Linked DNA regions of Ovis aries. The protein of the gene in region 2 interacts with the protein of the main gene of each other region in a pairwise test. Links are inferred from orthologs where the notes say so. Each region holds a gene or a part of one and is shown on either strand. Other genes may lie near its edges.

The links.
Region 1: the proteins of TRIM32 (region 2) and UBE2U interact in binary tests that used the Homo sapiens proteins (3 or more experiments, as listed by UniProt). The link is inferred for Ovis aries from reciprocal best matches to the Homo sapiens genes TRIM32 and UBE2U.
Region 3: the proteins of TRIM32 (region 2) and SCGB1A1 interact in binary tests that used the Homo sapiens proteins (3 or more experiments, as listed by UniProt). The two-hybrid records come from large-scale screens. The link is inferred for Ovis aries from reciprocal best matches to the Homo sapiens genes TRIM32 and SCGB1A1.
Region 4: the proteins of TRIM32 (region 2) and RABAC1 interact in binary tests that used the Homo sapiens proteins (3 or more experiments, as listed by UniProt). The two-hybrid records come from large-scale screens. The link is inferred for Ovis aries from reciprocal best matches to the Homo sapiens genes TRIM32 and RABAC1.
Region 5: the proteins of TRIM32 (region 2) and CLIP4 interact in binary tests that used the Homo sapiens proteins (3 or more experiments, as listed by UniProt). The two-hybrid records come from large-scale screens. The link is inferred for Ovis aries from reciprocal best matches to the Homo sapiens genes TRIM32 and CLIP4.
Region 6: the proteins of TRIM32 (region 2) and UBE2V1 interact in binary tests that used the Homo sapiens proteins (3 or more experiments, as listed by UniProt). The link is inferred for Ovis aries from reciprocal best matches to the Homo sapiens genes TRIM32 and UBE2V1.
Region 7: the proteins of TRIM32 (region 2) and UBQLN1 interact in binary tests that used the Homo sapiens proteins (3 or more experiments, as listed by UniProt). The two-hybrid records come from large-scale screens. The link is inferred for Ovis aries from reciprocal best matches to the Homo sapiens genes TRIM32 and UBQLN1.

What each region holds. Positions count from the first base shown.
Region 1 is NC_056054.1:39,651,016-39,655,043, reverse strand, and holds the start of UBE2U (ubiquitin-conjugating enzyme E2 U), read right to left. Parts: upstream 2,801-4,028; 5' UTR 2,363-2,800; coding exon 2,297-2,362; intron 987-2,296; coding exon 905-986; intron 544-904; exon of another isoform or gene 426-543; intron 1-425. UniProt on the Homo sapiens protein: Catalyzes the covalent attachment of ubiquitin to other proteins.
Region 2 is NC_056055.1:7,072,622-7,076,606, forward strand, and holds the start of TRIM32 (E3 ubiquitin-protein ligase TRIM32), read right to left. Parts: upstream 2,801-3,985; 5' UTR 2,752-2,800; exon of another isoform or gene 2,597-2,751; intron 2,558-2,596; exon of another isoform or gene 2,446-2,557; intron 2,435-2,445; exon of another isoform or gene 420-2,434; intron 1-419. UniProt on the Homo sapiens protein: E3 ubiquitin ligase that plays a role in various biological processes including neural stem cell differentiation, innate immunity, inflammatory resonse and autophagy.
Region 3 is NC_056074.1:37,334,579-37,338,690, reverse strand, and holds the start of SCGB1A1 (uteroglobin precursor), read right to left. Parts: upstream 2,801-4,112; coding exon 2,746-2,800; intron 594-2,745; coding exon 406-593; intron 1-405. UniProt on the Homo sapiens protein: Binds phosphatidylcholine, phosphatidylinositol, polychlorinated biphenyls (PCB) and weakly progesterone, potent inhibitor of phospholipase A2.
Region 4 is NC_056067.1:50,855,514-50,859,810, reverse strand, and holds RABAC1 (prenylated Rab acceptor protein 1), read right to left. Parts: upstream 2,801-4,297; coding exon 2,745-2,800; intron 2,466-2,744; coding exon 2,253-2,465; intron 1,928-2,252; coding exon 1,830-1,927; intron 421-1,829; coding exon 319-420; intron 237-318; coding exon 148-236; downstream 1-147. UniProt on the Homo sapiens protein: General Rab protein regulator required for vesicle formation from the Golgi complex. May control vesicle docking and fusion by mediating the action of Rab GTPases to the SNARE complexes.
Region 5 is NC_056056.1:35,951,485-35,955,633, forward strand, and holds the start of CLIP4 (CAP-Gly domain-containing linker protein 4), read left to right. Parts: upstream 1-1,349; 5' UTR 1,350-1,383; intron 1,384-4,067; exon of another isoform or gene 4,068-4,149.
Region 6 is NC_056066.1:78,133,583-78,136,339, reverse strand, and holds part of UBE2V1 (ubiquitin-conjugating enzyme E2 variant 1), read left to right. Parts: intron 1-1,937; coding exon 1,938-2,063; intron 2,064-2,757. UniProt on the Homo sapiens protein: Has no ubiquitin ligase activity on its own. The UBE2V1-UBE2N heterodimer catalyzes the synthesis of non-canonical poly-ubiquitin chains that are linked through Lys-63.
Region 7 is NC_056055.1:36,082,837-36,086,336, reverse strand, and holds part of UBQLN1 (ubiquilin-1), read right to left. Parts: intron 2,668-3,500; coding exon 2,552-2,667; intron 1-2,551. UniProt on the Homo sapiens protein: Plays an important role in the regulation of different protein degradation mechanisms and pathways including ubiquitin-proteasome system (UPS), autophagy and endoplasmic reticulum-associated protein degradation (ERAD) pathway.

The DNA.
Region 1 (4,028 bases), on a different chromosome or scaffold from region 2:
ATGTCTGACTCTGTGTGACCCCAGAGACGGCAGCCCACCAGGCTCCCCCGTCCCTGGGATCTCCAGGCAAGAACACTGGAGTGGGTTGCCATTTCCTTCTCCAATGGATGAAACTGAAAACTGAAAGTGAAGTCGTGCAGTCGTGTCCGACTCTTTGTGATCCCCTGGACTGCAGCCTACCAGGCTCCTCCGTCCATGGGATTTTCAAGCCAAGAGTACTGGAGTGGGGTGCCATTGCCTTCTCCGCCTTCTGATTCTAAACCTGGTGAATTCTCAGACATTCTTCAGGACCCAACTCAAGTGTCACTTCCTTGGGAAGCTGTTCCTGACTCTCCAAGGCAAAATTAACTAATCACTGCCTCCCAAGTATTCCATTCAAAATTCATAACAGGACATGTTATATTTTATTGTAATTATCCACTTACATGCTTTTCTCCCCTATCTCACTAAGCAAATATATCTTGTTAATCTGCAACTCTAAGAGGGCATGGTCATTAAAGTTTATGGTTGCCTAGTCTTCTTGAGAACTTGACTTATGGACATCTGTGGGAAAATCATAGAGAAAAAAAAAAAAGAGACATAATTGTGGGATTTTTCCATCAGGCATTTTGTTGGTTATTCTCTGAATTCATGGAAGACTATTAGATGATATTCTCAGTTGATATGTTTTCCTATGTCTGCTTCTTAAAAACATGATAACATTAAGACTGGGCATAAAGAAATATTCAAACCTAAAATATCCATCCATGTTGACAAATGGCAAAAAATTAAGCCATACAATGAAAAAATTAACATGTGAAAACTTTAGGAATTCTAGAAAATTTATACAGTGCAACCTTAAAGAAATTAGGCTAATAATATAAAGGCTTTTATAAAAAAGTAAATTGGTTTCCCAAACACAAACCATGCCAAATTGTATTCTGTAGACCTTCAATGTCAACATCCCATTGCATCATATCTTCACTTATAGGAAAGGCAGTAATACCCTAAACATCAAGAAAAATTAAAGCAGAAAAAAAGATTAAATATTTATTGCAGTTTGGGAAGTCAGATATTAGGTTACAATGAATTCCAAAAGCTCTAAATTTTCTTTTATTGATAAAAATGTTTGACTTGAGAAGGCGTTATATACTGTCTTATTACACAGAAGATAAGGTAGATTCCAGAAAATACATGCAATAGTAAATTTTAAGTAAATCATTAGTATGAAAATCACAAATGGGACAGGAAGGTCAAGAATGGAATATGTGACTTATGTAATTCTATAGACAATTTAAGATTCAAATTCAAAAAGAAAGGAATAGTTGGAAAGCATGTATTTCCTCATAGCTTTAAAAAAAACCCTACAGATGCTATACTAGGCATGAAGTAAATTTTCATTAAGAAAAACACAACTCTAAAATTATGCTCATATGTAAAAATAAAATTTTCCTACACTTGAGGCATTATTCCAATGGAGGGAAAAGAAAGTATTACTGTGCAAAACAATGAAGACCTAGCACAAACCAAAAATAATAATAAATAAAAATTTTAAAATGAAATTATAAGGGAAAGACACTTATGTGTTATATGTCACAGCAATTGGCAAAAAGTGCACTAGACAGGAAGAAAAAGAACTCAAGACTTAAGAGCAAGGGATTTTGGAGTCAAAAAACCCTGTGATGGAATCCCGAGCCCAAATATTTACTGAAAGCTTTCTGAGGCTTAGGTTTGTGGTAGGTAAAACAAAACACTACCTACTTTACAATATTGTATTGATAATTGAGGGGATTCCCAGGTGGTATCGAGTAAAGAATCCACTTGCCAACGCAGCAGACCTCGGTTTCATCCCTGGGTGGGAAAGACCCCCTGGAGAAGGAAATGGCAACCCTTTCCAGTATTCTTGCCTGGAAAAATCTCATGGACAGAGAAGCCTGGTGGGCTGCAGTGCATGGGGTTGCAAAGAGTCGGACACAACTTAGCCACTGAACATGCAGGCACAATTGATAATTAGTGAATGCAACCCTGCATTCACTAACTAAATAACTAATGGTTATTTACTACCTGATAGACTGTTACATTCAGGGATTAAAGTCCATAAATTACTCAGCACAGTGTGCTCAATACTGTTAACTACTATTATGAAATACTAATAATTATTATGAAACAGATTATTATACTGAAATAGGTTCATTAAACAAGTCTGTAGTGCAAATTAGATTTAACTCAATTATGCTTTGTGGAATAAACACAGATTAAACTGCTTTTAAAAACTCGTACCCCAATGAAACACAACCTCCACGTCTCCAATACTCACCTCATAATTGTTGTTCTTCAACTCTTGGAATTCTCTTTTTAGCAAGATGTAAGCTCTGCTGTACATGATAAGGCAAAAAATCCTCTGATCCTGTCCCCTCACTACTACGGTTCGCTCTGAGGCAAGTGTCTGAGGTTATGGGTCACTCTCCTATACCTAGTTAACTGACATAAATACTTGCTTTCTCCAGCTTCAGAATGCTGTATATATACTCCCAAGAGAGGTGGACCTAAGTTGGGCACGTAGCAGCGACTTTCTTTTCTCCTCTGACTCTTCTAAAGGAGGACTTCAGAAGGAAGACTTGAGCACTTTCTCCACTGCCGTGTGTCCTTGCCGCGCCAGCCCACAGCCCAGCCTGAAGATAAATGTGGATGAAACCCTGAGACCACTCGTGCTGCTTATGCGTGAAGTGGGCGTAAGAAGCGTAAGTTCAGGGTGTTCTTAACCAGTCACCGTCTCCGCTTCACAGGTGTAATTAACTGGGTGCCGGTTGGGCAAGAAGACGCAAATCGGTTGCCAAGCAACAAGACTAAACGGCACTGTAGAGGAGGTGGGCACTTGGCCACTCCTCATCCAATCAGCGTTGTGGGGTGGCCTCTGGAAACCTTCACAGCCAATTGTCCAAAAGGCTCAGTTTGAAAGGCCAATGAGAACCGTTGTTAAGGCCTCCTCTGTCCCAGCGCCCCGTGAGACTACTAAATCCATCCATTTTGTTGGGGTAGGGGGAAAAGTCAGAGGGTCTAGCGTTTAAGTCTAAGTCAGAGAAGACTTCACTAGAAGTCCTCCGAAATCATCTTTTCTTTTTCTTTGAATATTATGCTGGTCTGCTCTTGTTTATAATAACATATGGCACTTGTGGCTCAGCTGGTAAAGAATTCGCCTGCAGTTAGGGAGACCTGGGTTTGATCCCTGGGTTGGGAAGATACCCTGGAGAAGGGAGAGACTACCTACTCCAGTATTCTGGCCTGGAGAATTCAATAGACTGTATAGTCCATGGGGTCACAAAGAGTTGGACACGACTCTGCGACTTTCATATGGCACTTCAGCGGTCATGATATCTTCGCATATATTATTATGTCATCAAATTCTTCAGTTACTCTGGAAGAATGTTATGCAACATGAACTACTTAAAAATTCTCATCTCTTGCTGAGTTGTGCCACTTTCTGTTCCTTCTGTCTAGATATTTACCACGTTCAGATTTACCTTTGCCTACGATTCTTTATGAAATCATACAAGACAACTCCTTTCTTGTGATCCTAGAGGACCCTATATTTACCTCCCTGTTAGCATTTATTGGGCTTCCTCCGTGGCTCAACGATTTAAAAAAAAAATCCACTTGCAATGCAGGGGCTGCAGGAGACATGGGTTTGATTGTTGGGTTCAGATCCCCTGCAGGAGGGCACGGAAATCCACTGGAGTATTCTTGCCTGGAAAATCCCGTGGACAGAGGAGCCTGTTGGGCTACAGTCCATAGCGTCACAGAGTTGGACAAGACTGGAGAGAATTTAGCAGACAGGCATAGCATTTATCAGGCTGTATCACAATTGCCCATTGCTTTCTTTAGCCAGCTGTGAGCCTCTTAAAGGTGCTAATTTGCCCATGTCAACTACAGAAGCTGGCATCTTTTCTCAGAGTACTTTTTCTTACTGTTTACTGATTTTGTGGAAAACAGGACATCAGTTTAATTAGTTCATTCATTTCACAGATATTTATTTCACACTTCTCATGTGC
Region 2 (3,985 bases):
CAGAACAGGAGTTACTTTCCAAAGTAGGGGTGCCATCAGCCTCGGCGGCCCCTGCTATGAAGTGATTTTTCTAGCCAATGGCCTCTGTACCTCATCCTCTAGTTTCTTGCACCTCATCCTGTCTGCCAACGATAAGCTCCTCCCCTTATGTACCCATGGGTCCTGGTCTAAGAGCAAATCAAGAACAAAGTCCAGGGCTACTCCCTACCTAGTCAGATGGACTTACTCCCTTTAGAGTTCAATTTGATAGTGATACAGACTGGGCAGTCCTTTCATGAAAGAGTGAGCAGGTCCCAGCAAAGAAAAAGCAAGGAAAGAGAGAATATACCAGGTTACAGAGATCTGAATATGAGCCTACTTTTGCCCTCTCTAGCTATGGAACCTTAGACAAGTCACTGCCTTAGCCTTAGTTTACTTACATGTAAAACTGAATACTGTAGCTTGCTTAGTAGGGCCGTTATGAAAATTGAGTAAAGAAAGCAGATATGAAAGTTAAAAACTACTAAATCAGTGTGCACTTACTATGCACCAGACACTAAGCATTCTAATTTACTTCATTATAGATTACCATCACAGTAATCTATGACATAGGTCCTGTTACTAAACCTGTTTTACAGATGAAGAGCCAAGAGTTTAAGTAACTCACTCAAGATCACACAATCAGGAAGAGATTGAGCCAAGATCTGAATCCAGGATATGTGACTCTAGAGCAGAGTGCCTCAGCTTTGGCACTGTTGACATTTTGGGCCAGATACTGCTTTTGTTGTGGAGGCTGTTCAGTGCACTGTAATATGTTTAATAGTATTCCTGGTGTCTACCTATTAGGGGCCAGTAGTACTCCACACCCCAAAAGTGACAACCAAGAATGTGTCCAGACATTGTCGAATGCCCCCTGGGGGACAAAACCACTGCCAGTTAGGAACCATTTCTTTAGAACTTGGCACAGGACTAAATACTCAATGCATCTGCTATCCCTTGTTCTTGTCTCCCAGTTCAAACACCTCATTCACAGAGCCACTGTTATGCACCTTCTGTAGAATTCATTCTATCTACTTATATAACTGCTAAGGAAGATAAGACCTGACCTCACGTTCCACTCATACCCTGGAGCTCTCACACACTCTCTGTCACCACAGCTTGGAGGGACACACCAAGAGGAGCTTGGGCAGATGACCTTGAGTAGTCTCCTGCTTTGTGACTGGCCATTCTCTTTTTCTCTGAAGCCAACCATTTTCAGTGGGTCCACGTTCAGAGTGGAATGAGTAGTCACACCAAGGCTGCTTCATGATGAGGTGAAGTGAAAGTCACTCAGTCATGTCCAACTCTTTGCGACCCCATCGACTATACAGTCCATGAAATTCTCCAGGACACAGTGCTGGAGTAGGCAGCCTTTCCCTTCTCCAGGGGATCTTCCAAACCCAGGGATGGAACCCAGACCTCCCACACTGCAGGTAGATTCTTTACCGGCTGAGCCACATGATGAGGGATGTCTGGTTAACAGGTGAGGGAGATTCTGCCCCTTGCAGGGAAACTCAGGTTCCATCAGGAGTCCTGATGGCAAAGAGTGACGACTTTCTTGCTGAATCCCTGAACTCTGCAAAACTTCGCACACTCATATAGTTCCATAGATTGCTTCTAGGTCTTTGGGTCCCCAGAACTCCCTTTGCTTCCTATGCAGAGACTTCAGGAAAATTCCTTTCGCAATCCAAGACACCCATCTGTAACTCTATTCAGTCTCTTAATTCTACAGACCAACCAGTACCTCTCCACCCCACCGTTCCACCCTTGCTAAATCTTGTTCTCAAGTCTCCTAAGAATCCCAGCCTTGGGGGCTCTTCATTGCAACCCCCACCAACTCCTCCCTCATGCGTACCAGAATCCCCCAGACAAAGATCCTTTCATCTCTTTCCAAGTCGCTGCAGCCTTCAGCCCTGTATCGCAGTTAAACGCCCCATCCCACACCTCAGATCTGTGCTCTCCCTCAGTCTGAGCCCCCACCCTCTGGGTGCCATCAGGGACCCTGCCCCCCTTCACACCCCCACCCCCAAACCTTGCTCCTTCCTCTTTTCCCCACCCATGTCATGTGTCGCTTCAAACCTCAGGCAAGTGTCTTCTTCCTGCTTAAGAGATCTTGCTTCTCACTGATCCCGTCAAGAATTCAGCCCGTCGATCTTCCTCAGATTCCACTCGGGGAAAAAACGCTTCCTCCTCGGCAATTAGACTAGCCCCGGGCTCTGCTCCCTCTGATCTCAGATCTCACCCCGCTCAAAGCCTACTGCCCCCAGACTCTCTCAAATCACCTGAGATTCTGCACCCCGAATCTCATCGAGGCTCCCCAGTCCCTTCATACTGCCGAGATTCTGCACCCCTGATCCCTCCAGAGCCCTTGGGTCCCCTCCCATCTCTCAGATGCTGCACCCGTCTCCCCTCAGGGCCCCACATTACCTCATACCTCCCGAGATGCTGCACCGCGAATCTCGGAGCCCCTCGCTCCCCTCCTGGGCTGCATCTCCTCCGAGGCCCTCAGCCCCCTCGAGTTCGCCCCGAACCTGCATCTAGCAACCCACCCCCGGCGCCCCTCCCCACATACACCCACCACGGTCCTGCCCCTCAGATCCGGTCCCCCAGGCTCTGCCATTCTGGCGTGGACCGACCGCTGCACGCCGTCACAGCCCACCGTCGCGCCGCTCGGCCACCGCCCGCGACTCCGGCCGCGGTCCCGCATCCCCCACCCTCCATCCCGCCCCCTACCTGACCGCCCGCGGCTCCGACGCGTCCGCCGCTGCCAGCCCACCGGCCCACCGCCCTCTGCGCACGCGCCAACGTTAGCCCTTTTTGCGGGCGCCAATTCGTAGAGCTGCCTGTCCGTCACTGCGCCCCGCCCACCCCAAGGCATGCTGGGGGTTGTAGGCGGGCGGACCCGAGCTCGCGGCCCAACGACCAGGTAGCGGTGAGCTAATCAGCCGCAAGGAGCTAGGTGTCTTGAGGACACGCATTTCAGCTTTCTGTCCCCGTTGTACGGTTGAAGAAACCGAGGCCCAAGTTCACTCAGAAAGTCGGGAGCTAAACCGGAACTCGTGTGTCTGAGTGCAGTCTGTGTCAACCCCTTCGCTAAACCGAAGCTGCCAGGAGTGGTCCTCAACCAAGCCTTGGCATCTCTCAGAAAGACCTCTCTCCACCTCAGCTTTGCCATCTGAGAAATGGGCCAAGGAAAGACTACAACGTTCACACATTCACTCTGGGGCAAGCACAGAACCTGGCTGCGCTTAGAACCATAGTGCTTCTGGGCTCTTCTCCCAGTGACACAGTGCAGCCTAGAGATAAGCTTATCTGATGAGCAAATTGCCTTTATGAAGGATTCCTACTCCTGCTCAGCTGGGAGGCCGACAGGGGAAGTAGAGGTAGGAACACTCTCTGCAATCTATCCCTGCAGATTGAAGCTTCCCAGGAGCCTAAACCCAAGTCTAGTTTTTGGGCAGCCAGAAAAGGGAAGAGTCTTCACAGGTGAGAAACAGTCTAGCCTGTTGGCTGGTGAGGACCTGTAGCCCCTGGATAGTTTGGGGTCAGCTATAATCCCCGGCAGCTCAGCGGTAAAAACTCCCCCTGCCATGCAGGAGAGACAGGTTCAATCCCTGGATTTGGAGGATCCCCTGGAGAATCCCCTGGAGAGGAAACGGCAACCCACTCCAGTATTCTAGCCTGGGAAATCTCAGGGACAGAGGAGCCTGGTAGGCTACAGTCCATGGGGTTGCAAGAGTCAGACACGACTTAGCAAGTAACCACTACTACTACCACCACAGGTTCCTGTGGGTGACTATACAGTATGGCTTAGGAATAGGAAGAGGTTGGAAGGAGGATGGGCTTGGATTTGACATCCAGGGTAGGTAAAGTGACTCTTCACAATGAGAAAGCAACAACCACAAACAATAACCTAAGTGTTGTGCTGCCGTCAAACCCTTCACATGCACAGTTCACTTAATCTTCC
Region 3 (4,112 bases), on a different chromosome or scaffold from region 2:
GAATAGGCTACCCACTCCAGTATTCTTGGGGCTTCCCTGGTGGCTCAGATGGTAAAGAATCTGCCTTCAATGCGGGAGACCTGGGTTCGATCCCTGGGTTGGGAAGATCCCCTGGAGGAGGGCATGGCAACCCACTCCAGTATTCTTGCCTGGAGAATCCCCATGGACAGAGGAGGCTGGTGGGTTACAGCCCATGGGGTCACAAAGAGGTGGACGTGACTGAGCGACTAGCACAGCACCAGTATGCTTGCTTGGAAAATTGTGTGGGCAGAGGAGCCTGGCGGGCTACAGTCCATGGAGTTGCAGGGCTGGACACGACTGATGGACTGAGCATGCACGCATGCCCCGAAGTGGGTGACACTGCAGCCCAGGACGCGGGCAGCGGGTGTGGAGGGAGCCGTGTACCATGAGCTGTAACACGCTGTCCTTGGCCTTCGGGGAGAGGGTGTCTATCAGTTCCTTCAGCTGTCTTGTTGCTTCTTTCATGTCTTCGTCAGGGCTGAAAGGTTCCAGGGCAGCCTCGTAGCTGGAAGGCGTGCCTATGAGGAGGTTTCCCAAGGCATACAGAAGGCTGGGGCACACCTCTGTGGATGCTGGAGAACAGAGAGGAGGGATCCCCTGTATCTGGGCCCGTGTCTAGACTGGCCAGCTCCCTGCTGGGACCTGGCCCAGATGCACACAGCTGAGCCTGTCCACAAGAGCTAGGGGCCCTCTCACCCCCACCCTGGAGGGTGATGCTCCAAGCAATTGGCTCTTTGGCGCCAAGTGGATGCTTTCTGGGTTGTGGCCAGCTTTTTGTAGCTTGCCTGAGCCTTCCTTGTGCTTCCTGGGTTGCAACGGACAAGGTGCTACCAGCTCTTTCCAGGCGGAGCTCTGAGAATAGAAGCTGCTGATCTGACTTTTTTTTTTTTTTTTTTTTTGGTGTGGTGTGTGGGGGCTGGGGAGAGGCCGCAAAGGGTTTAGGCTCCCACCGGAAACATACCTCTTACTGATGGTTAGTGATGGTCGGAGTCCACGTGACAAAGTTAGGCTCTGGCAGGAAGAGGCACTCGTACCCGCCAAGCACGAGCCCCCGAGCCTGGCTCAGAAGGGACATCTGCCGTGGGCGCCAGGCCTGTGGGCTCCTCCACCCGCAGACACGCCTCTGCCCCATCCCCAGCCCCCCTCCCGTGTTCCCTTCATCTGAGGGCGCCCCCTCGTGCTCTCTTTTTAGGTCCCTGCCCCCAGGATCATGGGGCTTCCCAGGTGGCTTAGTGGTGAAGAATCTGCCTGCAATGCAGGAAATTGCAGGTTTGATCCTTGGGTCTGGAAGATCCCCTGGAGAAGGAAATGGCAATCCACTCTAGTATTCTTGCTTGGGAAATCCCCTGGACAGAGGAGCCCAGGGGCTACAGTCTATGGGGTTGCAAAGAGTCAGATAGGACTTAGCGTCTAAACAACAACACTCCCGGGATCATGGGGAGAATCACCATGCCCCACTCCCTGTTTGCCCTGTCTTCCCATTGAGTCTTAAATCCCTGTCCTTGACTTCACCACCTTGTGTGCAAACTCCCTTTCCTGAACTCCGGGGTTCCACCCAAATGGGTCACTCCAAGTCAGACCCTCTCCAGAACTTAGATCCCTGCTTTGCAACTTACTATGTCATCAGGCAAGTTACTTTATCTTTCTGTAGCTCAGTTTTTTCATCTGAAAAATGGGGGATAATGTCCCCACTTCATAGAGTTGTTGTAAGAATGAAAAGAGATAATATGTGAATGGGATTCAGCACAGGGATTATTATATGTGCACACACACAGACATACAAACACATCCCAGACCCACCACCTACGTATTTCACCCTGTCTTGCTGGGTTGTACCTGGCACTATCTTCTAATTAACATACATTTCAGTCCAAATGATGTTACTTCCCCTTTAAAACAGGCATCTCTGCACCATGGTTGCTCCTGCCGCCTCTTGCTCTCTGTTTTCTAACTCCCCCGCCACTCCCCAAGGTCATAAAACTTCTCTCTATTTTTCTTAGGGAACTTTGAAAGTGAGGGAGTTGGAATTTGTTTACATTTTTTGGTTGTTATTGTAGAAGGAATAGAAGAGACTGGTAGGGAGTAAAAAGCAGCTAAGTAACCCAGTTCCCAAAAGATCAGGGGCTTCGAGGAAGATGGGATTCACATCCCCTGCCCCGTCACTCTCCTCTTCATAACAGCTGCAACTCTTCAGAGACTCCTAATCCTTTTTGCAGAGGACAAAAAAATGTTTAGAAATCTCCATTCTGAGTTGGCAGTTTCCCAAAGGGAAGAACCCTATCTAGAATATTCCTCTCTGCCCAGAATGGGAGACCTTGCCTGAAGAAGCCATAAGGCTCCTTCCAGCCCCTTTGGCTGCCAGGGTGATGTGCTGACCCCAAACCTGGAGGTCTCTCGGCGTCTCGGGGTCTGTCCAGGCCTGGGCTTTGGGGAGCTTGTTAGTTACTCCTGTTCTGCTGGTCACTGCGTCTAGGTGGGATCTTCTCCATCTCTGCACTTCTGAGGTTGTTGGATATGGAAGATGGGGTCCTTTACAAGTTTCATCACAGCCTCAGGGCTCTGCGTAAATTCCTAAGATGGGCTTGTTTGCCAGACCCGGCTTCCTGGCTGGAAGTCAGTATTCCCAGGCTCTCCCAGCAGCCGCGCAGAGGACGTGGACAGCTGCCCCCTTTCCTGGGCAGCGCTGGGAGAGTTGCTGAGGCTGGCTTGGGATGGGATACTTACCAGGTCTGCAGAAGAGAGTCAGGGTGACCAGGGCGAAGGCAATGGTGAGCTTCATGGTGGCAGGAGGCTGGTGGGGGAGGCTCTGGCCCTGTCTCTGGATCTGGTGGTCTCATGGGTGATGTGCCCACTGGGATACCTTCTTATACTCTCCTGCAGTGAGGAGGGCAGGGCATGGGATCCACTTACGGGATCACATTGTTTACTTGGGCATCCACTCGGTGGAAAAAGTAAACATTCTCATTTCTCAACCCAGTTTCTGTCCCCAGTGAAACAGAGCTCACACAATGGGCCACTTGGGCGAGGGGAACCCAGAGTCCAATGTGGAGGCAGTGAGAGTGCCTGAGTCAGAGGGTTTGGAGAGCTGGCCGCCTTTGCTACTCCCTTCGGACCTGAGCGCTGGGCAGTGCAGATGGACAGACAGCATAGTCCACCTGATCCTATCACCCCAGGAGAAACTGAGGCCCAAGGCCCCGTACCAGTGGCAGTGATAGGACTAAGACTTGGGTTTCCTGATACTCCAGCGGGCTCTGCTCCAAGGAAGTGGCTGGACTTCAAGCCTCCAGAGTCACGCGGTCCAGAGCGTCTTGTGGTCAGACTTGGGCGAGACCCTGGACCGAAGCATGTTGACAGATTAAGTTCTCCAGAAACCTAATGCTCAGGTCGGGTTGGAGGATGCACTGTGCCAGCCAGGTCTGGAGTCCTGCCTACCTGATGACAAACCCATGGGCACTGCAGGCCTCATAGCACTTGACCTCTTCATGGCCTTAACCTCTCACCATTTCCCTCTTGAATTGTTCTCTCTCCTATGTTCCCACGACTCTCTGCTTTCCTGTTTTCCTCCCTGGCCATCCTTATTCTTTGGATGTTGATTCTTTACTGACCGAGCTTCCGTGTTGATGGCTCCAGGCTGTGACCCTGGCCCCTTCTGACACCATGTCAGTGGCGGCCTCCTTTCTTCTCCAAAGCCTGTGCCTTAGAACACAGACCTCCCCGACTCAGAGTCACCTCCTAAATGGCCTTCTGCCTCCTAGCTCTTCCTCCTCGGCCATCCTGGGAAAGGCCACTAGAATGATTTTTCTTAAGCCTGCTTATCATATTCTTCTCCTTCTTGAAACCCTTTTAAAGCTGCCTTGGGCGGATGCGATAAAATTCAAGTGCAACTTATGAGGCCCTTGTCCACCGGCCCTTGCTTACCATTTGAATCTCATTCCTCTGCTCTTCTGCGTGGAATCTTTTTTTTTTTTTTCTTCAGAAATCAATTTGATAACAGAATTGTGGACTTTGCAGTTGACTTATCAAACTACTAAAAAATTTAATTTTACATAATTTATAAAATCTCCACATCACTATCCTAAACTTCATTTAGT
Region 4 (4,297 bases), on a different chromosome or scaffold from region 2:
TGCTCAACAACTGTAACAGTTTTATTTCCAAAGCTGGAGTCCCTCCCTGGTCTTGACGTGGGAAGGGGGCCTTTGGCCAGAGCCGAGTGGGACCGGGGTGAACAGAGGCGGCTAGCTCAAGAGGCTGGGGGCTCTCGCGAAGCCACCTCACACGGGTTCCATCTGCAGCTCCTCCCCGTCCACAGCCTCCATCTGGTGGAAGGCGGCATGGGAGCCGATGACTACGAGAGTGGCTCCTGCAGGAAAATGGGCAGTTCAGGGCCTGGTGGCCTCACCAGGCCCCCACTGCCCACACTGCTGCCCAGACCCTGTACTCACCCAGGACCCAGAAGACGGCGGAGCCCGCGCCAGCCAGCCAGAAGAAGGGAAAGGAGACGCCCCCGGCCAGAGCATACTGATGGGCGGGGCTCACCTCCCGGCCTGCAGGGCAGAGGGCATTGGGGCAGCTGTTCTGACTCGTGCCTCCTCCCAGAGTAACCCCTGATGCTCCCCCAAACCTCGCAAGCTCTGGGAGTCTCAGGGTCTAATCTAAATTTGTGCTAAGGCCCTCCAGCCCTTGGCCCTACCCACTGACCGTGGGAACAGAGTGCCTTCCTCAGCCCCCTGCCCTCTGCCCTTCAACCCCACTTCTGCTAGGAAGCTCCCAGCCTCCTTCTCCTGACTAGTTCTCCTGCTCCAACCTGCACTAGTGCAGATCTGGAACCTCCGACTGGCAGCCCAAGAGCCAAATCTGACCTGGGGATGTGTCTTTTGAGTCTGCACATTATTCCATCAGAATTTGGTTTGTGGCTGCCAGAAAAACTGGGTAATTTCACATAACAATAGGCCGGCCCTCTGCATCCACAGATGGAAACCCGTGGATCGCTGTACTACATCATTTTTCATAAGGGACTTGAGCATTGGTGGACGTTGCCAGCCATGGGGCTCCTGGAACAACCCCCTATGGACACCAAGGGGCAGCTGTACAGATGTCTGGCTTCTCGTGGTGGATTGGAAGGTTGGATCTGCAGGTACTGGTGGCAGCTGTGGCTGAAGCCAAGTCGTGTCTATACTCCAAGCGCTCCCTCCATGCCCTGGGCTAGCCCGGCGCGCCCCTCCACCCAGCCTACCTACGTGACCGGCAGGCTTCTGAAGCATTCTGTCTTAGGTCTACCTGTTCATCTGAGCCCAATTCCCCCTTAGCCCCACTCCAAAGTCCTTGAGCATCCCCTAGTTGGGAACTCAGAGCCCTCTGTTTTATTTTTAAATCTTCTGCCAGCACCACACATAATGTGTGACTTAGTTCCCTGATGGGGGATGGAACCCATGCCCCCTGCGTTGGAAGCATGGTCTTAACCACTGAACCACCAGGGAAGTCCTCAGGCTTGTCTTTCTTCTCAGTGGTGTTTCCGGTGTCAATCTGGGACCACCTGAGCCACAGGGCTCAGCCTCCCTCTCAGAAATCCCAAGATTTCCACTTCCTCCCCAGGAAGCAGGAAAGGGGGAGCACGGATATAGGCCAGTGGGAAGTCGCCACCTGGTGGCCGATGGGGGTACGTGCAGCTGACGTTAGCAGGAGGTTAGGCAGAAGGGAGAGTGAAGGAGGTTTAAGGAGTCAGACGGAGGTGGGTTCTGGAGTATCTTCTAGACTTGGGGGATAGCAACTTGGGGGCGCTGAGAGTGGGTGGGAGCATCAGGTGTGTCTGAGACTTTAAGGGACCGAGTTTGGGGGAATCTAGTGTAGATAGAGGCTTGGGCAGACATGGATTCGAAAGGACTTGGGTTTGGTGTCAAAAGGTTTGCGTTCCAAGAGACCAGGATGTGAACAGTCTGGGCAAGGGATTTCTCACCGAACAGCACAAACTTGGACTGCAACGTGCGCAGATAGAGGATGTAACAGGCGCCAAAGAAGACAGCCAGGGCCACCAGCAGCATGGGAGACGTCGCCCTGGAAGGGGGCAGGGAGCCGTGTGTCAGGGAGCCGGGGCTAGGCCCGACAAGGAGGCCCTGACCTTCCCATCGGCGGATGGCAGGCGATCCGCTTGGGGCCGGGGAAGTCTAGGTCACATTTGGTCACACTGTATCCTGGCCAGGTTGATGGGGGAACTAGGGACCTGGCCCTTCGGTGAAAACTTCCGGCAGAACATCCCATGGGAATGGGGCCCGGGCAGTGAGAGGTGGGGCCGGATGCTGAGGGCGCGGTCGGCCAGAGCGGGCCACGCAGCCTGGAGGGGGTGGGGACCGGGGCGCCGACGGGCCGAAGAGGCACTCACACACAGTACAGGATGAGGCCCAGAAACACGAACACATAGTTGCTCTGGTAGTACTCCACGTTGCGTACGAGGCGCTGGCACAGCTCGCCCAGGTTGCGGGGCCGCGAGAAGCGCCGCTGGTCCACGAAGGAGCCCCAGGACCGGATGGTCGCACGGCGCCGCTCCAGCCACTCGCGGCCCGCGCCAGATGGAATCAGTTTCGGCAGCAGGGTCCTGATGGGTGAGGGGTCACGTCAGCGATCGACCGACCGGGATGGAGTCCGGACCCTCCAGCAAGAAGAGGACCGAGGGGGGCCGGACTCCGGGGTTCTGGGGTGGATAATGGTCCCAGGCTCCTGGATCTCAGGGGAGAAAGGGGCTGAGGGTCCAGGCTCCAGAGTCCTCGAAGAGGACAACAGAGGCCCAAACTCTTATGTCTAGAGGCCGGGATTCCTAGGACCCCCCAGGGGGGAGGGGTCGGGGGACCAGGACTCCCGGGTCTCGGTTGCTCACGCGGCGCTCAGTCCTTCCGCCTCGGCATCCTTCTGCTGGTCCTTCTCGGCCGCCATGTCTGTGTTGTCTGGGGAAGAACTAAGGAGCCCAGGGCTCTGCAGACCCCGCGGGCCCCGCCCGAGAACGGCCTCACCCAGCAGAGCTGGAGCGGACGTGTAGTCGTTCTGGAGCCGCTGGGGAACGGTAGTTCTGCTGCCGAGCATTGTGGGAGTTGTAGTCCTGATGGTGCCGGGGAGACTGGGCACCATGATGGTGGCATGACTCGCGAAGCACTTTGGGAGTTGTAGTCGTGTAAAAAGAACCAAGCGCCCCTCTGGGCATTGTGGGAGTTGTAGTTTCCGAATTAGGATTTGTGGAGTCCGGGAAGGTGGGTTATCAGGAGTCAGGGCGTTAGGCAAGCTCTAAAGGCAAGAAGACGCTGTGTACTCCCCCGTGCAGGCTACAACCGGGACCGTGTAGAGCTGTCATTCTGTCTCTAGGAGGTATAAAAAAACACTTAATAAAACACTCAGATGTTCTGATTCAGCAGATCTAGGGTGAGACCCTTCATCCGTGTTTATAACAAGTTTCTAGGTGATGTTGATGCTTCTGGTGATGCTCCATGGCCCACATTTTGAATAGCGAGACTGTAAAGAATTAGTGGGAGTCTATTCCTTCCTTCTTTAACAGGCTAGTGATGGGACCATAGTTGCTGGAGGGGTGTCTAAGGTGGGGAGCAAAGCTCCACCCCCACCTTTGGGCTCCCAAGGATGAATGGGTTAGGATTAGGGACCTAGGCATGCCCCTGCCTTGGTTAGGGTGAAGGGAAGTGGGAGGAAAGGTTGAGATTTTATTTTTTCATATATCATTTTTTTGTCCAGTTTTATTGAAGGGGTGAGAATTTTTTAAAGATGTAGATGTCATAACGAAAAGAGCTGGGATTCTGGGGTCAGAGGTCAAACTTCAAGCTGTGTTGAGCTCATCACCTCCCTGAACCTCAGTGTCTTCATCTGGACAGTGAAGATCCTGGGAGTACCACACTCATGGGATTGAGATTGGGTTGAATGATCCATGTAAAGTGCTTGAAAGAGTCTTGATATTTCATAATTGTTTGATAAACAATAGTCCATGCTATTGCCACTACATTATCATGGCTGTTATAATTATTTCTAGAGTTCAGCCTTCTAAAAAATTTTTAAAATGTTATTTGTTTATTTTTGGCTATATCAAGTCTTAGTTACAACACATGGTGCTTAGTTACTTTGTGGCATGTGGGATCTTGGTTCCCAGACCAGGGATTGAACCCAGGTCCCCTGCATTGCAAGGTGGATTTTTAAACACTATATCACCAGGGAAGTCCCAGCCTTCTCACTGGCCCCTTGGATGTCCCAAAGAGTGGCTGGTGTCTGAGACATGGGCCTTTCTTTCCCCTGCTTCCAAGAATCTTAGCTCTATCAATCTTTGCCCCTGCTGCAGGGTGAGTTGTAGAAAACCAGCTGGAGTTCTAAGGGGGTGCACCAGAATGGCCTCAAGAAATGTGTAGAAGTTTCGGGAAGCCTGGGCTCCCTTACACA
Region 5 (4,149 bases), on a different chromosome or scaffold from region 2:
AAGGAAGGATGATTTTATGAGCCCACAGCAGAGGAGAGTTGCTATTTACTGATATGGGAAGGTTATGGGGAAGGGTTCTATTTTGAACATGTTATATTTGAGATGCCTATTAGTGAACAGATGTCTATTACTCTAAAGCATATTCTAGATTAGAAGCTGAGTAGGCAGTTGAATACATGTCTGAAATTCAGGGCTGGAGGCAGACGTTTTGGTATCATGAAAACAGAGATGGTATTTAGAGCCATAGATTGGATAAGATAACCTAGAAAATGAGAAATTGGCTTCATGGAAACCACATGAACAAGATTCCTACAGGACCCTTGTAAGGGTTTCTCTGAGGCATATCTACAAAGGTGGTTGCTGAGTCATAAAGAATGCTGATAATTTTTCACTAAATATTACCAGATTGTTCTACAGAATGCAGTTTAAATTCTCATCAACAGTGCTTGAAGATTCCCATTTCCCCATATCTTTGTGAGCACTGGAGAGTATCTTTCTGAATTTTGCCAGGCTAATGGGTAAAGTAGTGACATGTTGGAGCTGACCCATGAGAACTGATGGAGCACATTTCTTCCCAATTACTTTTCAGTGGCTTCACACTGGAAGCTTGAAATCATCAGGGATGAGAGTATTTGTACCTTGGAAATTAGTAAACACTGCAAATTAGGACTCTCCTTCAACTCCTATATATACCAGCAAACCAGTGGCTATCAGCAATATCACACCATCTATCTTTCCATTCTCTCATTACTAGTGAGTCTGAGCGTCTCTTCTATGAGTGCTTGCCGTTCTAACTTCTCCTTCTGTGAATTCGCCTATTCCTACCCGTTTTTTACTTTTATGTTGGGTTCTCTGATGTCTTTTTATTGATTTGCAAGTTACTTACCTATTTTAGATATGAGTCCCTTGCTGCTTTTGAATATCTATTTTCTTCCAATTTGTCAGCTGTTAACTTTTTCCATGGTATTCTTCACTGTAGAGAAACCATGGGTATACAGTCAAATCTCCTAGTCTTTTGTTTGAAGGTTTGTGCTTTTGCAATCTTGTTTTATGAAGTAAATCCCTACCCGACATACATAAAGATTTTCTTCCACATTTCTCCTACTTCCGACCTATTTTTCAAATGTAGATCTTCAATTAATCTGGAGTTCACTCTGAATATGGTAGACATGGGGCATTCAACTCTATTTTTTCTTCTCATTTTCCCCAAACCATCTTCTAAATAATTTGCAACTTTTCTCATTAATTTGCAGTTCCATATTTGCATATATTGAGGTCCCAGGGTCTGCTGAGTGCTCTATTTTGTGTGGCTGTTCTATTTGTTCCTGTACAAGTAGCATACTATTTTTATCACTATGTAGTAATGACATAGGATCTGCCAGGGTAGGTTTTCTCTCTTTGCTCTTGTTTTTCAAAATTGATTTATTTAACATTTGGTTTTTCTTTATGGAAGTTTTCTTTATTGAACTTTATTGAAGTTTCTTAAAATTTGAGTTCCTGTTGGAATATTGGTTGGTATAACATTGAATTTAAAGATTAAATGGACATTTTTTTTTACACTGTAAAGTCATCCTATCCATAGTATATCTTCATTTATTCAATCTTCTTTTATGTCCTTAAATAGAACTTAAACATTTTCTCCATAAAGATCTTGTAAGTTGCTAGGTTAATTCTTAATATTATGCTTTAGGATTTTATTGATATTGTGAATGGTCTCTTATTGTCTATTATATTTCCTGGGTGTTTACTGCTGAAGTAGAGGAAACATCTGATTTTTAGAAACTGATCTTGTATTTGGCAACCTTGTTACCTTGGCCTATAACTTCTAATAGTTGATTCTGTTGCTTTTATATGCTGATGACCCTCTCTGTGAACATGCTAGGGATTTTAGGATTTGCACAGTGTTCTGATATTCTACATTTAACTACCTCTGTGTTAAATGTGTGTGTGTGTGTGTGTGTGTGTGTTCGTGTGTGTGTGTTAGTTGCTCAGTTGTGTCTGACTCTTCCGCAGTCCCATGGATGGCAGCCCACTAGGCTCCTCTGTCCATGGAATTCTCCAGGCAAGAATACTGGAGTGGGTTGTCATTCCCTTCTTCAGGGGATCTTCCTGACCCAGGGATCAAACCCATGTCTCTTACGTCTCCTGCATTGGCAGGTGGGTTCTTACCACTAGTGCCACCTGAGAACTACCTCTGCAAGTTGGGCTCCAATCTGGCACCCCAATTCTAATAGTTAGATGTCTCTTGTTCACTTGCATTCTGGAAATGAGCCCCTGTCTTCCTCCCCTGTGAATCATATCCAGCCCTGAGCCCACGTACAGGAAGTAACACTGTGTTCTTTTGATTTTTTTCCCCCACTCTTTTCTCACGGACTGCAGTCCTGTTAAGCACTGAACAGACCTGGATGCTAATGTTCTGTTTGTCCACCCGAATTTCTCAAAGATCCCTGCTACTCATGCAGCATTCCTGTGTCCTGAATGCCCCCAAAGGACACCTGTGTAGATAATACAATGCAGTGAATCAACACAGGCCTTCATGTTACACAGACTTGGGTTTGAATCCTATTTCTGTCCAAGGATACAGTGAATGAGCTCCACAGCCTCCTGGAATCTGAGTCTTCATTGGTAAAGTGAAAACAAGTAAGATCTGAAAGATAGGAATCAAACTGTGCTCATATTGAGCATAATGAGTCAATAATGCCCCTGTCTCCACACTGATGCTGACTACTGATTCTGGTCAACTTCTGGGACTGCGGATTATTGCCATATTGTCCAAGAACCTTGTTGTGCCTTCAGATATAATTGAACCTCAGCAGCTGTGGCTGGACCATTTCCCCATGTGCTTTCCCACCCCTTTGATTCATGTTCCAAATTCTGGCTCCATATCAGTGCCCAGCCCGACTCTTGGTTTGAGAACTGTATAGCCCATGGGGTGTTTCAAGAAGCAGGACTCCAATGAGTGTTTGCATCTGTGATCATGGGCTAGGGAGTAACCTCGGTTTCTTGAGTAAAGGCAAGCAGGTGAGTGGGAGATTCTTTCTCTAATGGCTTCGTATCCTTGGAATTTGCCAATGTACTAGACAGTATTTGGGTAAGGCAGAAAAACCCAGTTGCCTGGCTGGTTCTAACACAGACTTTCATTATAGTGAGGAACAACGCAGCCAGCCACACCCTGTCACCCACTCGGAGTGTTCTCAGAGGGATAATTTAAATCAGCAATAAAAGTGAACTGTATAGGTGGAAAGTATAGCAACTTTTGTTACATAGAGAACTTTATGAGTTTCTGTGGCTCACTGACAATAGGGCTTATTTCAGTTCAGTTCTGTTCAGTCACTCAGTCATGTCTGACTCTTTGAGACCCCATGGACTGCAGCCCTGTCCATCACCAACTCCTGGAGTTTACTCAAACTCATGTCCATTGAGTCGGTGATGCCATCCAACCATCTTATCCTCTGTCTTCCCCTTCTCCTCCTGCCTTCAATCTTTCCCAGCATCAGGGTCTTTTCAAATGAGTCAGTTCTTTCCCTCAGGTGGCCAAAGTATTGGAGTTTCAGCTTCAACATCAATCCTTCCAATGAATATTCAGGACCGATGTCCTTTAGAATGGACTGGTTGGATTTCCTTGCAGTCCAGGGACTCTCAAGAGTCTTCTCCAACACCACAGTTCAAAAGCATCCATTCTTCGGCGCTTAGCTTTCTTTATAGTCCAGCTCTCATATCCATACATAACTACTGGAAAAACCATAGTCTTGACTAGACGGACCTTTGTTGGCAAAGTAATGTCTCTGCTTTTTAATATGCTGTCTAGGTTGGTCATAGCTTTTCTTCCAAGGAGCAAGTGTCTTAATTTCACGGCTCTAGTCACCGTCTGCAGTGATTTTAGAGGCCCCCCCCCCCAAAAAAAATAAAGTCTTATTTATTTACAGTTCGTTAAAGTCAGCCAAGCGCAGATTGCCTTCCTTCTTTCAACCAGTTAAACAGGTGGGTGGGGTCAGACAAGAACTGGGTGTGGTGAGAGCAGAGAGAAGGAGCAGGAAACCTCAAAGGGAGGAGGGAGCATCTGTGTTACTTCTTTCTGAGTGTGATGAGCTGCTGGACCTGCAGGCACAGCGAGACTGGCAGCTGACCAGGGACTGGGGGATGGTCATG
Region 6 (2,757 bases), on a different chromosome or scaffold from region 2:
TAAATGGAGTATCATCTGCAAAAATACTGAGTCACTGTTGTATACCAGGAACTAATACTGTCAACTGTATTGCAATATAAATAGATAAATAAGCAAACATTCATTGTATACTACTTCCAGATTTACAGAAAAGTTGCAATGTTCATTCATTCAATAAACAGATGAGTACCAGTTCGGTTGAGGCCCCTGCCCGCCTTGTTCCGAGATTAGTGAGGGGTGTCTGGCGGGTGACTGGGCGTCAGTCTTCAAATGAGGGGTCCCGAGAACTCTGAGGGGAAGATGCATGGGAGCTGAGCTGCGAGGCTCAGAGCAGCAGCTGGTATGAGCACCCCAAGGAGAGGACTCAGTGTGTCTGAAGAGTGTGACGAGGAGGCCGGAGGGGCGGGATGAGGAAGGAGAAGCAACGGAGAGGAGGGCAGGGCCGCATGGGGTCCAGTCCAGGAACCGGGCCCCCCTTTCTCGGGTCTCCAGGAAGCCACTGGAGGGGTGAGGCCACAGGCACAGTTTCCAGGGCTGTCTGGGGAGCAGGTGCTAGGGGCGCGAGAGAAGGCAGAGGCCTGGGGTCATCTGGAGGAGGCGCACAGTAGAGGAAGGTTGGGTGAGTGTGCATCCCTTCTGATGCCTGGGATGAGGAGTGAGGGAAAAGGGAGTCATGGCTGGCTGCCAGTTTGCTCTAACTGCCGGATGGTGCTCCTGCTTACCAGGGAAGAAGGCAGGTGGGGGGAAATCCTGAGTTGAGCTTTTGTTACAGCTTGGGGTCCCTGTGAAGTGGATGTGGTATGGGACTATTATGCATTCTGGATCTTAAAATATATGTTCCAGTTTTTAAGCTAGGGACAGGCCACTATTTTAGACGGAATGTTTTCAAGCCTTTTAATCATCCTTCTTAATGTGCTCCCCCCAAAGGCCGCTAGATGTCACTGTTCACACGGCCGTTTCTTGTGCAGCACGGGGTGCAGAGGGCACAGGGCGCGGGTGAGGGCCCCGGAGGAGGCCGGTCTCCCTGCAAAGGGGGCCAGTCTGACCGGGAGGTGTCAGCCGCGGTTTGGTGTGGTCTTCAGATACGCAGATGATGATAACGCAGCTTCACGTGAGAAAACCGTGCACAGCCTTCTGATTAACATGCTGCTTGAACTGGGTCTCGAAGGCTATGAGGTGGTCCGAGTGGGGGTTCAGCACTTTAGGCAGAAGGAACCGCCTGGAGAAGGCGGCGCACTCCACTGCTCACCGGGCAGAAGTGACAAGGGAGCCATCCCCGGGCATGAGGCGGGACTCGGTGTTTCTTAGTGGAGGCTCGGTTGGCGCTCGGAGAAGGACCGTTTCTCCTGGGCAGGTCTGGCGTCCTCGGCCCCCTCCCCCCACACACCTCCTCGATGCCGGGTGGTCCTAAAGGCAGCAGGGACGGAGTGCCTGTGGCTGAGATCCCTTCCCAGAGCGCGGCCCCGGTGGTGAGGAGTGGAAGGCAACCCTGTGTCTGTGCCCACCCTGATCTTGTGCTTGAGTTCAAAGTCCTCTAGAGTTGCTTGTTCTTTACTCTGTACATGATGGTATCTAGTGCCTTGGCTGATGATCCCAGCATGAGTAGACATCAGTGTGACTTCCCAGAATGAAGGATGCCTCTTACACGTCATTTTCCAGAGTGTAGACAAATGAACAGAAAAGCCAAGTCCATCTGATTGGGCCTAATGATGCCACCCTAAGACTTCAGTGACACTGGCTTAAATTTCCTGGCTTCTTTATATTCCCCCAAAGCCAGGATGCATAGGCGCTGGTGCAGGGACTGATTACGACTAACTTAGCAAACAGCGAGTAGACTCTGAATGGTGGCAGCAGACACACCAGCTCTGCATGGGGAATAAATGGGGTTTCAGAAGTTGTGCAGTTTTTTAATTCTTTGTAATTGCCTGACATGGCTATGCCTTCTATTTTTTTTCCAGACAATTTATGAAAACCGAATATACAGCCTTAAAATAGAATGTGGACCTAAATACCCAGAAGCACCCCCCTTTGTAAGATTTGTAACAAAAATTAATATGAATGGAGTTAATAGTTCTAATGGAGTGGTAAGTTGTTTCTGCTGCCCCTCCTTGTCCCCTGGGGGTCCCCCAGATTCTTTGTGCTCGAATGTCAGGGGCACTTGGGGCCTGATTGCATTTGTTCCTTGGTTACTGGATGATGACATGTACCGCAGGACACACACGTGCTGTTTTGGAGGGAGGGCCTGTTTCCCAGTTGTGTTTCAGCACAACTTGTATGGCGTTGGCTCTGGGCTGTTATCACTCAGCCTGTGCCGGTCACTTTGAGAGGAGCGCTCCTTCAGCCTTCCTGCTACACCCCCAAGAGGTAGAGGCAAGGAAATGGAGGCAGAGAGGGAAAAGACCGCCCCAACGCCACGCTTCTCCCCACGGGCCTTATTTCTGCACCATGGACATATAATACTTTCTCCTTGTAATGGCCTTGCTTTCTTATTTTTGCCACTGTTTTCACTGCCGTGAATGGAGACCAGTCTCATCTGCCGTAAGCAGGTGCTGGTGGTGACACCACAGTAAACGCTGTAAAAGCAGAGCAGGGGCAGCCGACGGCCCCGTGCCGCGCGCCAAAGGCGCTCGAGCCTCTGAGGCCCACCTGATGTCCTAAACCCAGGAGAAGTTCCTGCTTGGAGGCGTTTCTCCAGGGGGGCACTGCACTGACTTGAGGGGGGTGGCTCGGACAGGCTCTGGTCTGCTGTTGCCTCACTCTCCCTACTGCCCTGAGCGG
Region 7 (3,500 bases), about 29 Mb from region 2:
ATCAGGTAATATCATAGAGCTGAATACAAGGCATGGAGTTCAGAATTGATGTGGGTTTAGGTAAAGATTCGAGAGTCAACAATTTACAGTTAGGATATTGTCACTGGGGAAAACAGAATAAAAGAACAGAAAAAGAGAAGGCAGATGGCGGAACAATACTAATTAAAGGAATAGGAAGAAGAGACCCACAAATGAGAGAGGAAAAAACTGGTCAGAAAATTAACCAGGGAAAAAGCATATCAAGAATTAAAGAAAAAAATTTTCAAGGAAAGACTGATAAGCATTAGAAGACAGCAATTTAGATTTTAAAACACTTTCAATCTAAGTATCTAAAAATCTAAAAAGGTGTCCATTAAATTTGGCAAGCTAAGAGGTCAATGGTGACTTTATCAAGGGAACTGATGGGGGCAAGAAATAGAGCACAGCAAACTTAAGTGAAAGAGAAATACAGACAGAAAACAGAATACATCTTTTCCAAAAATAGCTGAGAAAGAAAAAGAAAGGTGGTAGTGGGATTCTGTTGCTTTTAAACATGCTGCAGATGCTGCTGCTACTGCTACTGCTGCTAAGTCGCTTCAATTATGTCCGATTCTGTGCGACCCCATAGACGGCAGGCCACCAGGCTCTCCCGTCTCTGGGATTCTCCAGGCAAGAACACTGGAGTGGGTTGCCATTTCCTTCTCCAATGCATGAAAGTGAAAAGTGAAAGTGAAGTCGCTCAGTCGTGTCTGACTCTTAGCGACCCCATGGACTGCAGCCTACCAGGCTCCTCCATCCATGGGATTTTCCAGGCAAGAGTACTGGAGTGGGCTGCCACTGCCTTCTTCATTTAAACATGGGACAGACCTTAAGGAAAACACACAGCAAAAAAAAAAGCCAAATAGACAGGGTAAACTGAGTAACTGATGCAGAAAAGTAACTAAGATAGGAGGGGATGGGAATGAAATAAGCAGCAAAGGGACAAATTAACTAAAGGCTTCTGCGGGTTTTAATTTCTTTGCCTATAAAATGAGAGAAGAGGGACTTCCCTAGTGGTCCAGTGGTTAAAACTCCATGTTTCCAATGCAGGGGCCCCAGGTTCACTCCCTGGTCAGGGAACTAGATCCCACATGTCCCAACTACCAGTTAACATGCCACATCTAAGACCCAGCACAGCCAAATAAATAATATTTAAAAAAAAAAAAAAATTGAGGGAAGAGACTTACCTCAATAATACACTAAATAATTTCATCCTAATCTTTCTAGATTGTTCCTATTAATCAATTTTCCATCTAAAACTCAAATTTAGCCCAAGATGTGTTTAAATCAAACATTTAAAAAAGAGAGAGAGAGAATGTGAATCAATGCCATGCCCTAAATGTTGTTTCCAACATAACTGGTATCAATAAATTATTAAAAAACTTTTCTGGAAGTGAAAGAAAATATGAGCCTCGATACATGAAAACTGTATAAGGATTCATTACACAACTTATGATGTCATTATTCACATTTTGCTCTGTCAAGTTTTTATTCCAACCTCGTGTATATTACAGACTCACATTTATTATCGTAAAATTTTTTAACGACGCATCATGAAATTCTGAGTGAAGAATTAATAGCTGAATTTTACACAGATACTTTCTCTGAATGTCCAAGTGATATACATGCTACCGTCTCAGATGATGACAGTTCTTTAGAATACAGTTCTGATTCAGAAGATGTGAATATTAGACCAACAAAAAGAAAACTTTAGTGACTGGTTCTGATACAGAAAGTGAAAATAAAACTCACGGTGCTAGAAAAGGCTTCACAGGTGTGTCAGGTGTAACTACTCAATGCAATAAACTGCAAAGTATTAGTAAAATAACAGAACTAAGTTTTGGCTACCCAAAATAAAAATTGCTGGTCACAGGTGTTAGTTTCTGCCAAAAGTCCCTCAGTCAATAATGAGATAAAATGTCATTTCAAGGTATTATACTTGTCATACAACTTAGGAACTAAAAGCAGCACTAAGCCATTTATCTATCTAGTTCAACTTCTGTTAGCTTCAGATCACTCCATTCCCCAACTAAACCTTCCTAAGAACCTCAGTGTAAAAACTAATGTAAGAAAAGTAGTTTTGGCTGATGCAGAAGATCCTTAACCACCAGGCTTGCATCAGGCCTTTCTGTGTGAGTTTAGAACAGTTAGAAAATCACTAATGCAATCTGATCCTTTCATTTTACAAAGGAGAAAACTATTCAAGGGGTTAGCTTATGATCAACAACTAGCTAATCTTTTCCAGAGTCAATTATGTGGTGGTCAAATCAGGTACACATACAGTATATCTCTTTCATTATTAAAAAGAAATGTGCCACTTACTGATCACTTATTATATATTAATGTAACCTAAGCATGCACATCTGCATCTTCAAATATCCCCTTAATAACTACAATTATAGAAATAACCTAGACAAGTTTTTGTCATTGCTAAAGTGACTTAATGTTTAACTGTCATCTTACTTAAAACTATCCTGGGAAAAAGGAAATTTGCTTATTTTTATCCTTATGCAAAATGACTAAAAATACTTACCTAAACCAAAAGGGTTGCTAGTGGCAGAACCAGATGTGGAGTTACTACTAGGAGCTGATGATGTGGTGGCACTGGTTCCACTGGCATTTGTTTGTTGAGCTGAATGATCCTGAGGCCTATGAAAAATAATTTACACCATAATATAAACATTTGAGCAAATTATTTTCAAAAGGAGCTCTGAAATTCCAATAGGTACAAATAAAGATTTTAAACCAACTCAAATTATCATAAAGTACATATGCTGAGATAATTAAGCACAAGGAACATGAAATATAAACAAATATAGTAAAATCCCATGAAATCCAAACTATACTTCAATTGCCCCTCAAGTACTGCGGCTGCTGCTGCTAAGTCACTTCAGTCGTGTCCAACTCTGTGTGACCCCATAGACGGCAGCCCACCAGGCTCCTCGTCCCTGGGATTCTCCAGGCAGGAACACTGGAGTGGGTTGCCATTTCCTTCTCCAATGCATGAAAGTGAAAAGTAAAACTGAGGTCACTCAGTTGTATCCGACTCTTAGCGACCCCATGGACTGCAGCCCACCAGGCTCCTCCGTCCATGGGATTTGCCAGGCAAGAGTGCTGGAGAGGGCTGCCATTGCCTTCTCCACCTCAAGTACACTTGTAAATATTTCATAAAAAATTCATCAACATAAAAAACGTCATAAACATTTCAATCATATTGATTGATTAAGAGAGGGAGATAGATCACCTCACAGAAAAGAATGACTGATCACAATCACAGAGCCTGATTATATAAGCAATTTTTTTAAATTTATTTATTTATTTATTTTTTAAATTTTAAAATCTTTAATTCTTACCTGCGTTCCCAAACATGACCCCCTCTCCCACCTCCCTCCCCACAACTTCTCTCTGGGTCATCCCCATGCACCAGCCCCAAACATGCTGCACCGTACGTCAGACATGGACTGGCGATTCAATTCTTACAT